Cricetulus griseus: one gene and its partners. Each later gene encodes a partner of the first gene's protein in a complex. Links are inferred from orthologs where the notes say so. Each region holds a gene or a part of one and is shown on either strand. Other genes may lie near its edges.

The links.
Region 2: the proteins of Rev1 (region 1) and Pold3 are in contact, whole or in part, in an NMR structure (PDB 2N1G), measured with the Homo sapiens proteins. The link is inferred for Cricetulus griseus from reciprocal best matches to the Homo sapiens genes REV1 and POLD3. Residues at the interface, in NP_057400.1 of Homo sapiens: Asn1158, Leu1159, Ala1160, Gly1161, Leu1171, Leu1172, Glu1174, Trp1175, Ile1179, Met1183, Glu1184, Glu1185, Asp1186, Gln1189, Val1190; in NP_006582.1 of Homo sapiens: Gly232, Asn233, Met234, Met235, Ser236, Asn237, Phe238, Phe239, Gly240, Ala242, Ala243, Met244.
Region 3: the proteins of Rev1 (region 1) and Polk are in contact, whole or in part, in an NMR structure (PDB 2LSI), measured with the Homo sapiens proteins. The link is inferred for Cricetulus griseus from reciprocal best matches to the Homo sapiens genes REV1 and POLK. Residues at the interface, in NP_057400.1 of Homo sapiens: Asn1158, Leu1159, Ala1160, Gly1161, Ala1162, Asp1167, Leu1171, Leu1172, Glu1174, Trp1175, Thr1178, Ile1179, Met1183, Glu1185, Asp1186, Gln1189, Val1190; in NP_001374042.1 of Homo sapiens: Lys564, Lys565, Ser566, Phe567, Phe568, Asp569, Lys571, Arg572, Arg575.

What each region holds. Positions count from the first base shown.
Region 1 is NW_023276807.1:10,161,952-10,165,605, reverse strand, and holds part of Rev1 (DNA repair protein REV1), read right to left. Parts: intron 2,280-3,654; coding exon 1,573-2,279; intron 1-1,572. UniProt on the Homo sapiens protein: Deoxycytidyl transferase involved in DNA repair. Transfers a dCMP residue from dCTP to the 3'-end of a DNA primer in a template-dependent reaction.
Region 2 is NC_048596.1:99,449,891-99,453,544, reverse strand, and holds part of Pold3 (DNA polymerase delta subunit 3), read right to left. Parts: intron 2,329-3,654; coding exon 2,222-2,328; intron 1-2,221. UniProt on the Homo sapiens protein: Accessory component of both the DNA polymerase delta complex and the DNA polymerase zeta complex.
Region 3 is NC_048595.1:315,165,059-315,168,512, forward strand, and holds the end of Polk (DNA polymerase kappa), read right to left. Parts: coding exon 3,312-3,454; intron 2,416-3,311; coding exon 2,382-2,415; intron 2,206-2,381; coding exon 2,121-2,205; 3' UTR 640-2,120; downstream 1-639. UniProt on the Homo sapiens protein: DNA polymerase specifically involved in DNA repair. Plays an important role in translesion synthesis, where the normal high-fidelity DNA polymerases cannot proceed and DNA synthesis stalls.

The DNA of each region.
Region 1 (3,654 bases):
CTACCCACCCAGCTTGGAAAATATTACTTTATAATAACATTAATACTATTACTCCTCCTGGTGCTCTAAATGTAATAGTATAGTACCTAAATTTAAGAACTACGGCTTGCAAGAAGTTCTGATCTCAGAGAATATTCTTGATTGTCGGCTTTATGATAGTTTTTTTTTTTTAAACTTACTCCCTAGTAATTGTGCTACTTCACATATTAACTGTAAGACATTTACTTTGTCTCACTATGTGCAAGGCACTGAATCTTCATGTTATCTTCAAGTGGATAACCCATAAGCTGGACATCACTGATTCCTATCACTCCTCTTGCAGAGAAGAAACAGGCAAGAAAGGCAAATGCATGTTCCCACGGCACAAAGTGGCAGAGTAAGGATTTGGATTCAAGCTAAGCTATCTAACTCAAACCCTTGCACTTCCTTGCCGTTCTCTATGCTACCTTCAGAAAGATTTATCAAGTACATTTTAACAATCATAATCTTTCTTTCTTTGGCAGTGCTAGGTATCAAACTCAGAGCCTTGCACATGTTAGGCAAACAACAATCGCAATTCTACTGTATAAAAACATGAAACAAAATGTAAACAACCCAAAATAGTATTAAATATTCAAGGGATACAGAATGTATAAACCAAATACCTACCAAATGCTTTCTTACAACATAGAAGATTATGAATTTATTCCCATCAATAGACCTAATTCATAAAAGTATTTTAAAGCTTTCAAAATTAAGTAACCTTAAGGTTGTAAAGACCAAGACATAAGAACTATGGCATTACTCTGAAATATTTCAGAAATACTGAAAAATCATTTTGACTAAAAACATGTTGAAATATATATAAAACCAATATAGCAGCAACAAAAAACTCACATGGATCTAAAACACCATTATCGTCTTTCTCTTTATGCCTCCCTTTCCACAGTTATAAAGATTATCACATAATCTTGGAACTTTGTGCCACGCCCACAAAAGAAAAAAAACGTCAAACCCTTTGTCAAAAACAACTGAAACTTCAAACTAGGTCTAAACTAGACTCTAGTTTAAGTAATGACTGTCACAAAACAGCTTCCTGTTGGATTTGGATGACAAACATTAAGCCACACACAAATTATCAACAATCTACACAGATGTGAAAATAATCTCACTAAGTTTACCACTCTAAGTACAATAATTAGGTCAGTGTTTAATTTTTTAAAAGTGAATTATGAAGTAAGCTTCAAGAAATTCACAATTACCCTTACCAAACAACTTCATTCTCACAGATTAGGCACGGAATATAAAATGTTATATTTATACAGTTCAAAACTTCAACAATGTATAAAGTCTACATGAGGAAGGAATACTTGAAATCCCAGTTCTGACAGCATTGAAATGGCCTAATATTTTCAGTTAGCCACAGTTAAATCTAACATAAAATAACAAAGTTTAGTGTTATACTTACTGTTAACTTACATAACCTGGCATTCCTGGAGGCTTTTTATACTAAGAAGTTTATAATGATTAGAATACCAATGAAACAAAATCATCAAATATAACTGTTTTGAAGAAAACAATTTTAGTATCTACCTGTGTCAGTTACAACAAGGGAAGACCTGCCTGTTTTCAGTTTTTTTAACTTTTCCCTTCCTGGAAAGATACCACTACTTTGTCTTTGTAGGGTATTGACAAACTCAGTCAATTCACACTTCCATGTTGAGATGTGATGGAGTCTTGAATGAGAATAGAAATCTGAGATAAAATTGTAGTCTGATGGTTTGGATGGCACTGAAGAGTCACAACAGAAGTGCTTACTAAGAGTCACAACAGAAGTGCTTTTTGTGCTTGAAGGCCCCTGAACAGTGGAGTGGTGAGCACCATTGATTTTAATGTTACTGTGCAAAGACGATGAGAGAGAATTAGTTCTGTGTGGATTCCGCAAAGCATCTGTATTTCTGGTGCTCTGCTGCAACTGCTGTACTGTGCAGTCTCTGAAGTCAGTGTTGCTCTTCTCTGCCTTCTCCTCCTGGGCAGAATCTAAAGAAAGCCTGCTAGCAACACTATTGCCCACAGGCACCAAGCTATCCTGTGTCTTTAAGGCACCATTAGAGCTATGAGAGTGTCCATTAAAAATGACAGAGGTGTCTCTGGGATGCAATATTCCATTTTGTTTCCTTCCTGGAAATGTCTGTTCCAGATCCACAAAACTAAAATCATTTGTATCTTCTTCATTCCAACTGCTCAGTCCATTTGCTTTCACTTCATTTTCTGTCTCAATCTTCTTAATTATGTGATTTCTAAAGTATAAGAAGAATTAAGTTAATGTATCTAACTTGAAAGCTTAAATACAAATTTTCTTTGTGATTTACTGTTTCCCTCTTAAATACTGAAAAATTAAACCATAAACACTATATTCTTACTTGAACAAACAATAATTCTTAGCCAAACTAAAGAAACAAGAACTTTTTCTTTCTTCTCCTTTTTTTGTTACTTACTTTTTTGTGAAAATAGGGTCTGAGTTACCGACTACTTACACAGCCTTTTACTTAAGTTTATCAAATACTGAAATAACAGGCATGCACAGGCCCTATGTCCATTGGTTTTCTGCAACTTTTCCCACAAAAACTAACTAGAACCTATTACCTCTAAATTCCAAAGCACAGTAACTGTCATTTACTGTGAATAACATCTATTTTTCATAAAATGAAAAAAAGTTTTCCCTGAGTTCCTTCTTCTGGTTTTACATTTGGTTTTCATGTAAGTAATTCTCTAACACATGAAACCCAACACCACTACATGGGATCAGCACCCTGATTCTAGTTAGCCTTTCAGTCAAGATGAGAACTGACATGACTGTATTTAAGCACACACTGGGCTTACTACTATTCCAGATGATATCATGTAAGAATCAAGTGTGTGCTAGCAACTCCGTGTACAATTTTTAATAAGAAAAAAGACAGCAATTAACCGGAAAAGTGTATTTAGATGCCACAGATAACCAAGGCAATCTAAGTCAAATTTATAGTCCCAAGTTTAACAAATGCAGACTCTATGACATATGCTATACTCAATTTACATCCTAGCTACTCTACATTTTTAAATACTAAAGAAGACAATTCATTTGTATTCATAAAAACATCTAAATAACAAAAAATACAAAAGAGGATTTTATCAGTGATTCATTCTTTCAAATGTCTATAGCATTATTCCAATTAGTTGGGACTCCAGATAATGGGGTAACACACACAATACCATACATACTAAGGGTCAGATTTCTGTCACCACCACATGTTGTCTTAAGGTAGTCACCCTAATGTCAATTTGACTTATTAGTAATGATGGGCTGACTACATGGAAAAATCATACAAGTTGGATGCAAAAAATAAACAAATAAATCCCCACCCATTTCTACTTGTCTCAGGTTCTGGCTGCATCTGTATTGTTCATGGACTATGTTATGATAGTCAATTTTGAGTACATCCAACTCTCATAAAAGGCCAGTGAAAGAAGAACACAAACTGAAAACAATTAAAAGAAAGACAACTGATTCAGAAGAAGACTGCCCCTTAACATAGAGCAGGAAGTGAAGAGCCACTTAAATTTATTTAAAATGCAAACGATAGCTGGCACTCATCAAAACATCAGAATTTAACTAAACATAAGTAAACAAAA
Region 2 (3,654 bases), on another chromosome or scaffold:
ACCTATCCTTACTTTAAAAAAAGTGTGTGTGTGACGTGCTTAATATCCTCCACAAACAACCTACGAGGACTGAAAATGTTAGCAAATACTTAACACAGCCATAAAAACTGTTTCTTCCTAGCAACAGTTTTGTTTTGTTTTTAATTATGTAGAACTACTAAGGGCGCTTATGGCACTTCCAGGGTGAAGGAGAGCCTTTCCAATAAGAAGGTGAAAGGAATTTGCCGAGGCTCACATATAAGGATGGAGTGGGGGGAGGGGCACAATGTGAAAAGCTACTGTGTGTCAAGTGCTGTCTGGGCATTTCTGATGTATTGTTTTAATGTCTACAAAAAGCTAGTTTGTAGTAACACTGCAGTTCTAGAAGAGTAAACAGGGACTGGAAGTTAAGGCACCTGCCTAACATCAGCTAGTAAGGGTGCAGGAAGATTTAACCTGGGTCTGTCTGACTCTGGAGCCCTTGCCATCTCCTACACGCCTGCCGCACATCTGTTAATGACTAGCCTGAGACAGCAGATCAAGCTATTATAATCAGTGGAACACAAATAAAAAGAGACTGTGTAAAGGTTCAAAATAAAATCCTGCTGGCTTTCAGACACAGAAATTATAGAATAAAATGGTAGACTTTTATAAGTTCACTCAGATGCCAAAAATTATCTCTGCCAGAGAAAAGAACCTGAGGGCTTCTGCTCTCTGTCATCCTGTTGTCACGTGCTGCTCACCTCCATCACATTTCTTTGCAGTCCTTTCCCAACTGAGCAACCACAGTCACATTCTAATAGCCCTTGGGTATTATTATTTTGTGGGCTACAGAACAATAGAATATTTCAGAAGTATGCAAGAGTGCTCAATCAACCCAGGAACTCAATTCAGAACTGGCGCTTTCAGTAACACTAGACTATTCAGTTTCTACTCACAAAGTCTTAGCTTTGTGAGTAAAAGGAGTATGTGCATGTTCAAGTGTGTGTGGGTGTACATGTTTATACATATGTGTGGAGGACAATGCTCAACAACAGATGCTGTTCCCAGGAGATGCCTGTGTGTTTTGAGTTGGGCTCTGCAGCTGGATCCAAAGCTTGCTCACTAGGCTACGCTAACTGCCTAGCCAGCTCTGGGGATCAGCCTGACTCCATCTCCCCAGTGCTGGGATTACAAGTGCACACCTCTTACACAGGTGACAGGAGAGACCTTCGTGCTTATGAGGCGAACACTTACTGATGGAACTATTTCCCCAGCCCCTATCTTCTCAATGTACATTAATGTAGTGTGTTTTTCCACTCACTTGTATAGTTAGTGCCCTTTGGGGCAGAGGCTATATCACCTTTTTTCAGTTACTCTAGCGACTGTTTCTAGCAATTATTTTATCTTTAGTTTTGTCCTTTGACAGTCAGGCTCCTTTTTGCATTATCATTCTTCTCTCTTTAAACTGCTATGACAGCTCCAGGTTTAGCCCCATTCTCTCTGCATACTTTCCTGGATAGCACAATGTAGTCTAAGAAACTTTCTCTTTGGTTTTTTTCTATATACTTTACATGGTTTGGGGTAAGATCTTAAGAGTACTTGATATTAGGGTTGGAGAGGTGGTGCAGAGGTTAAGAGCACTGGCTGCCCTTTCAGAGGATTTGGGTTCAATTCCCAGCACCCAGATAGCAGGCAGCTCACCACTTTCTAATGCCTTCTTCTGAGAACTGTATACATATGGTGCACATACAAACACGTAAATGAAACACCTAATACATATTTTTTTTAATTAAAAGTACTTGATATTTGTTTTAAAAGCATATTAATTTCCCTGTAGAGACTCCTGTGTTTATTCTGCTTGCTTATCTTACTACAGTGCCCACATCTTGACCCTGGCAGGTCCACAGTGTCACTCCCTTTCAACAGTGACACTATGTATGATCTTCCAGTTTGACCTCAGTTTTATTTTTTGGTGTGTCTAGAATATGTACATGAAGGTAGCCAAAAGAACACTAGCCTTAAAGAGAAAAGAAAGGGCTTAGATAGTATGTGTAAAAGTAGTCATACTTTCTGTTTTCTGTATTTTCACAAGTTACCAAATGATCACTATTCTGATAAAAAGATTACAGCAGATTTCAAAGAGAGATATTCTAATTGCTAGTACTACTGCTGCCATTGTAGTTCATAGTAAGAGAAAATTTTAGATCCTCACGCATGAACCAAGAAATTATCCCTAACAAGAATTAACACCAATGTCTACCTTCATCTTCACTGCTATCGGACTGAGGGAGCTTGATTCTTCTCCTCTTTTTCTTCAGGTTTTCGGTTTCCTTTGCTTCCTCATCAGATAAGTCTACTCGCTTCCCCCTGTTGCCATCAGGAATAAATTAAGCACATTACAAAACAAAAAGTATGCATATGTTTAAGTGTGCATTTGTTCCTATGCAGCTTCTTTAAAGCTCACAGACATAACTCCAGAGGGTAGAAAACAACAAAGCAGATGAAGAAAAACTAATCTGTTTTTATTTGTTTGTTTGAGTCAAGGTTTCTATGTAGCCCTGGCTGTCCTAGAACTCACTATGTAGACCAGGCTGGCCTCCAACTCAGAGATCCCCTGCCTCTGCCTCCTGAGTGGTGCACCACCATGCCCAGCAGGAAGAATGATTCTTTGGAGATATATACACTATATAAAAGGTTTCATCAGTTCTCTGTAGGCCAGTTTAGAGTCTTGCCAATGCCTTTCCCCCTCCTGGCCTTTCAGTCACTTAACATGCATTAAATAAGGAGCTAAACAACAGTACTGCAAAGACCAGGAAAGAAATGCTGTTCTCAAAAAGCCCCCGGAGGCCAGATGTAGTGGCGCACACCTATAATTTCTGCAGAGAGCGAAGGATTCTAAAACCGAGGCCAGCCTGAGCCACACAGTTAAAACCTTGCCTCAAAAGATGAACATGCTTTGGCCAACTGCACTAGCCATTATAAAACATGATAAAATTTAATGGACAAATAACATTGAGGAGCACAACTGTTAAAAGCTAAGGAGATATTCAACAGGTAGGAAGGGAAGATAATATTCTAAAATGAAAGAACAACGTGAGCAAAGGCATAGACAAGACCATAAAGTCATTCTAATGATGTCATAAAAGCCTAGACTCTCTTTTGACATTATTTAGCTTCCCTGTCTGCTTTCTCTATTACAGCATTCATCAATAAATAATTTAAGGGCCTGTTGTATGTTAGAGACAAATACACATAAACCATAGTCTTTCTGTCATTGAGTTCCTATGTCTTATTTGATTTTGAACATCAACTTTTTTTTTCTACTTTTGCTAGGAAAAGAATAAAGTAAACCCAAAGTAAGCCAAAGGGAATAAACATTAGAGTAAAAAGCAATGCAATAGAAAGGAAAGAAAACTAACGAAGCCTAAAGTTGATAGGTTAAGAAGAAAAGATTAATAAGCCTTTTACAATAGAAAGAAAACATGTATTACCAAGTGGTAATTAAAAAATAAAGGAATGTGTAGTCATAACTATAGTCTACAAATACTCTAAGAACAAGGCTAGATTATGAACAACTTTAACAAGCTCAAGCACTTAGAGAAAATAAATTCCTTTAAAAGCACAATTTACTCAAAACTGATCCAAAAAGAACTAGAAAATTTGAGTAACACTATATAAAGAATCTCTCTCTTC
Region 3 (3,454 bases), on another chromosome or scaffold:
AAAAGGTAGGCAAGCGAGCTAAAAATAAGCTTTCTCTTAAAAAAATAAAGTAGGTAAACACACTGACCATATGAAGTTTCATTTTTACTTGTTCCTTCTTTTTACTCACTTCATCTGCTTAACTGACTAAAAATCAAATTTAATGAACTATAGAAATGATCCTGGAAGGTATTAGCAGTGGAACCAGTATTTATCCCTAGTGTACACACAGACTTTGGGAGTCTATTCCCCATGGAGGGATACTCTCTTAGCCTAGACACATGCAGGAGGGCCTAGGCCCTGCCCCAAATGACTTGACAGACTTTTATGATCCCCATGAAAGGCCTCACCCTCCCTGGGGAGTGGATGTGGGGGTCAGTGGAGGGGCATGGGAGGATGGTAGAGGGAACCATGATTGATATGTAAAATAAGATTGTTTCTAATTTAAATAAAATTTGTAAAAAATAATAATTTAAAAAGAGGTCATGAATTTGAGAGGGACTGAGAGGGAGGGACACAGGAGAAGTTGGAAGAGAAAGAGTAAGAGAAGAAAATGATGTAAACACATTACACATGTAAGAAATTCTAAAAAAAAAGTTTTAAAATTTTATTTAAGTTATTAAATATATATGATGGTATTCAATTAAATGACAAACTTAATTGAAAATAATTTATTATTTAATGTGGAAAACAATAAAAATAAATTTCAGATGGGAGAAAACAATAAATACAATAATATCTACTTTTTAATACATTAAATCAGTTTCACTGAATTTTATAAATAATTTACATAAGTAAATCACAATCAATAACCAAAACACCACAGCTTTGGAACTGTCATGGTGAGGACAATCAGGTAAGGGACTGGCACGTCAGTAAGCTTTCAGCTCATCTATGAACAGGCTGGTAATTAAAAGTCAGGTTACAACTGTGGCAAAGGCTTTGCCCTAAGGAAGGTATCCCTCAAATATTTGTCTACTCTAAATGCACTAAGATATTCAAAGATCAAACTATAAGAAAAAAGATTCAGTTCTCTTTTTCCCTTTTTTTGCTTTTATGACACACAGTTTCTGTGTAGACCAGACTGTCCTGGAATTCACTCTGTAGACCAGGCTGGCTTCCAACTCAGAGCCTGCCTCTGATTTTCGAGTGCTGGGATTAAAGGTACCACCACCTCCTGGCAAGATTTAGTTCTTAAAGCAGTAGCAAAAGGGGATTTTTGATAAGAACTTGTGGGTGGCACCATGTTTGGAGCAACTCCTTAACTGCTGCAAATCTTTCTTCTTTCACAAATGTTAACAAAGGTGTGACAGGCATGTCACTGAGGTCAGTGCTATGCTTTCTAAGGCATGCATCTTCTGAGTTGCACATTTTCTCTTAAAGAGTAGAATGAAAATCAAGTGACAACACAACTTATCTTGTCTACTACAGATTTGTAGAAAGTTAAATACATTTACCAAGAAAAGAAATACTGCTATTTAAAGTTACTGAGTTAAAAAACAAACTATTTTGAATTGTGTACTAAAGATTTCTTTATGTGAACCAAGTGCTTATTTGTAAGGTAAAAGAATTGTAAGGAAAAACAACTAACAATAGTTTGAACAAGTCCTTCAAACACAGATAATACTGTGCATTGCTTTCATGAAGGTAACACGTGTACCCATTGCTATTTCTGTTAAACCAATGTTCTTCATAGACCTCATGGTTAAATCTAACTACAAATGCTCACAGAACACTTAAATTAGACACAAGAGCAAGTACAGCAGCATCCAATGGCACCACGGCGGCTAAGCACTGAGATGCTCATGCTGCAACTAGTGCACACAACTCAGACTCCGTAAGTATTTTATGCTCATTATAAAATAATACATCATCTTCTGACCTCCCCTTTTACTTTCATTTTAAAGCTGTCTTTAACATGACTGATTTCCAACTGATGTACACTGGAAATGAAATCTTATGGTTATTAAGGGAAATATAAAGAAATAAGTTAATATGCAGTCTACATTCCTTAAAAAGGTCATATGAGGAGGTAATATTGCACTTGTCTTCCCTAGATGAATCTTAAAAATGAGGAAGGCTAAATACACTGGTTATAAAACTAAGAATTTCAATAAGAATGTTGATAAAATGTTCAAAGTTCATTTAAAAAACATATCAAGGGTGTGTCTGGGACTTCGGGGTTTTGTTTTCTTTGATGTAGACCACTTTGTCCTCTGTCTCCGCCTGGAATGAGAAAGAATACATAACTTCTATGTAGAAGGAAATACTTGAAAATAATTTTGCAAAAACAGTTCTTAAAATGTTACTTGATTAAAGTTATTAAAGCAAAGTTTAGCCCCTTAAACTCAGATTAAACATGAGTTTGTGGCTCTCTTTACTCAAGTTCAAGATAGGCATACCTTTTTGTCCTTCCTGCAGCCTTCTGAAGTCTGCCTGTAAGGTAAAGAAAGCCAAGAAATTCCATGAGGAAAAGGTAAAATCATTGAAAAGCATCACAAAAATTAAAGAGACAAAACTGACAGATTAAATAGTATGCATATCCCAAACAATTTTTAAGAATATTGTATTACATTAATTAAATTAGTGCTTCCATGTACATGTGCACATGTATGGAGGTCAATGGACGACTTTTGGAAGTCAGTTCTTTCCTTCCATCATGTGGTCCAGAGATGAAAATCAGGTTGAAAGGCACCTACACCCTCGAGGCACAACTGCCAGCCTCACAAGGTTAATCTCATATTGTCGATCCCTTAGAATTTACTAGTTCTACTGGCATTAAACTTAATTTCTGCAATCTTGCTACAGTCAGCACTACAGAGAAACAAGTGAAAGGCTTCCTGTCTCTGTAAACACAGCCAATTTGTCACTGTGCACTAGCAGATGTTTCCCAAGGGAATTTCTTTTGTGTAGATCACTCTGATCCTTCAACTTTTAACTTCATTCTACACTGAATCAAAACTAAACTGGGGTTTCCCCTAAATTCAAAAGCTCAGTTTGAGCTATTTCTAGCCATGGGAAGGCAGAACTAATATTTTCCTCAATGAGAGCAAACCCAAGACACCTTTTTAATAGTAAGTATTTCAAACTTAAGTTTCAGGGATTTTAATAAGACATCTCTAGAAAATCACATTGCTCTTTTTTAATTTTAAGTGCATTGGTGTTTTGCCTACATGTATGTCTGTGTACTGTGTGTGCCTGGTGCCTGTTGAGGGAGGAGTTACAGATGTTGTAGGTACCATGTGGGTTCTGGGGACCAACCCCAGGTCCTATGCAAGATCAGCAAGAACTACTGCACCCCCTCCTCCCCCACTTAATAACTGCAAGCTCACCAGTATTTCTGGAGCTTTCTTTGTGTTGGCCAACTGAATTAACTTCATTATTCCTCAGTTCTTGGATAATGCCTTTATTTAAGCAAATATCCACATGCACATTGAAGAGGGTAAGGTCAGAAGTCTTCTGTTCTAGGTTACAA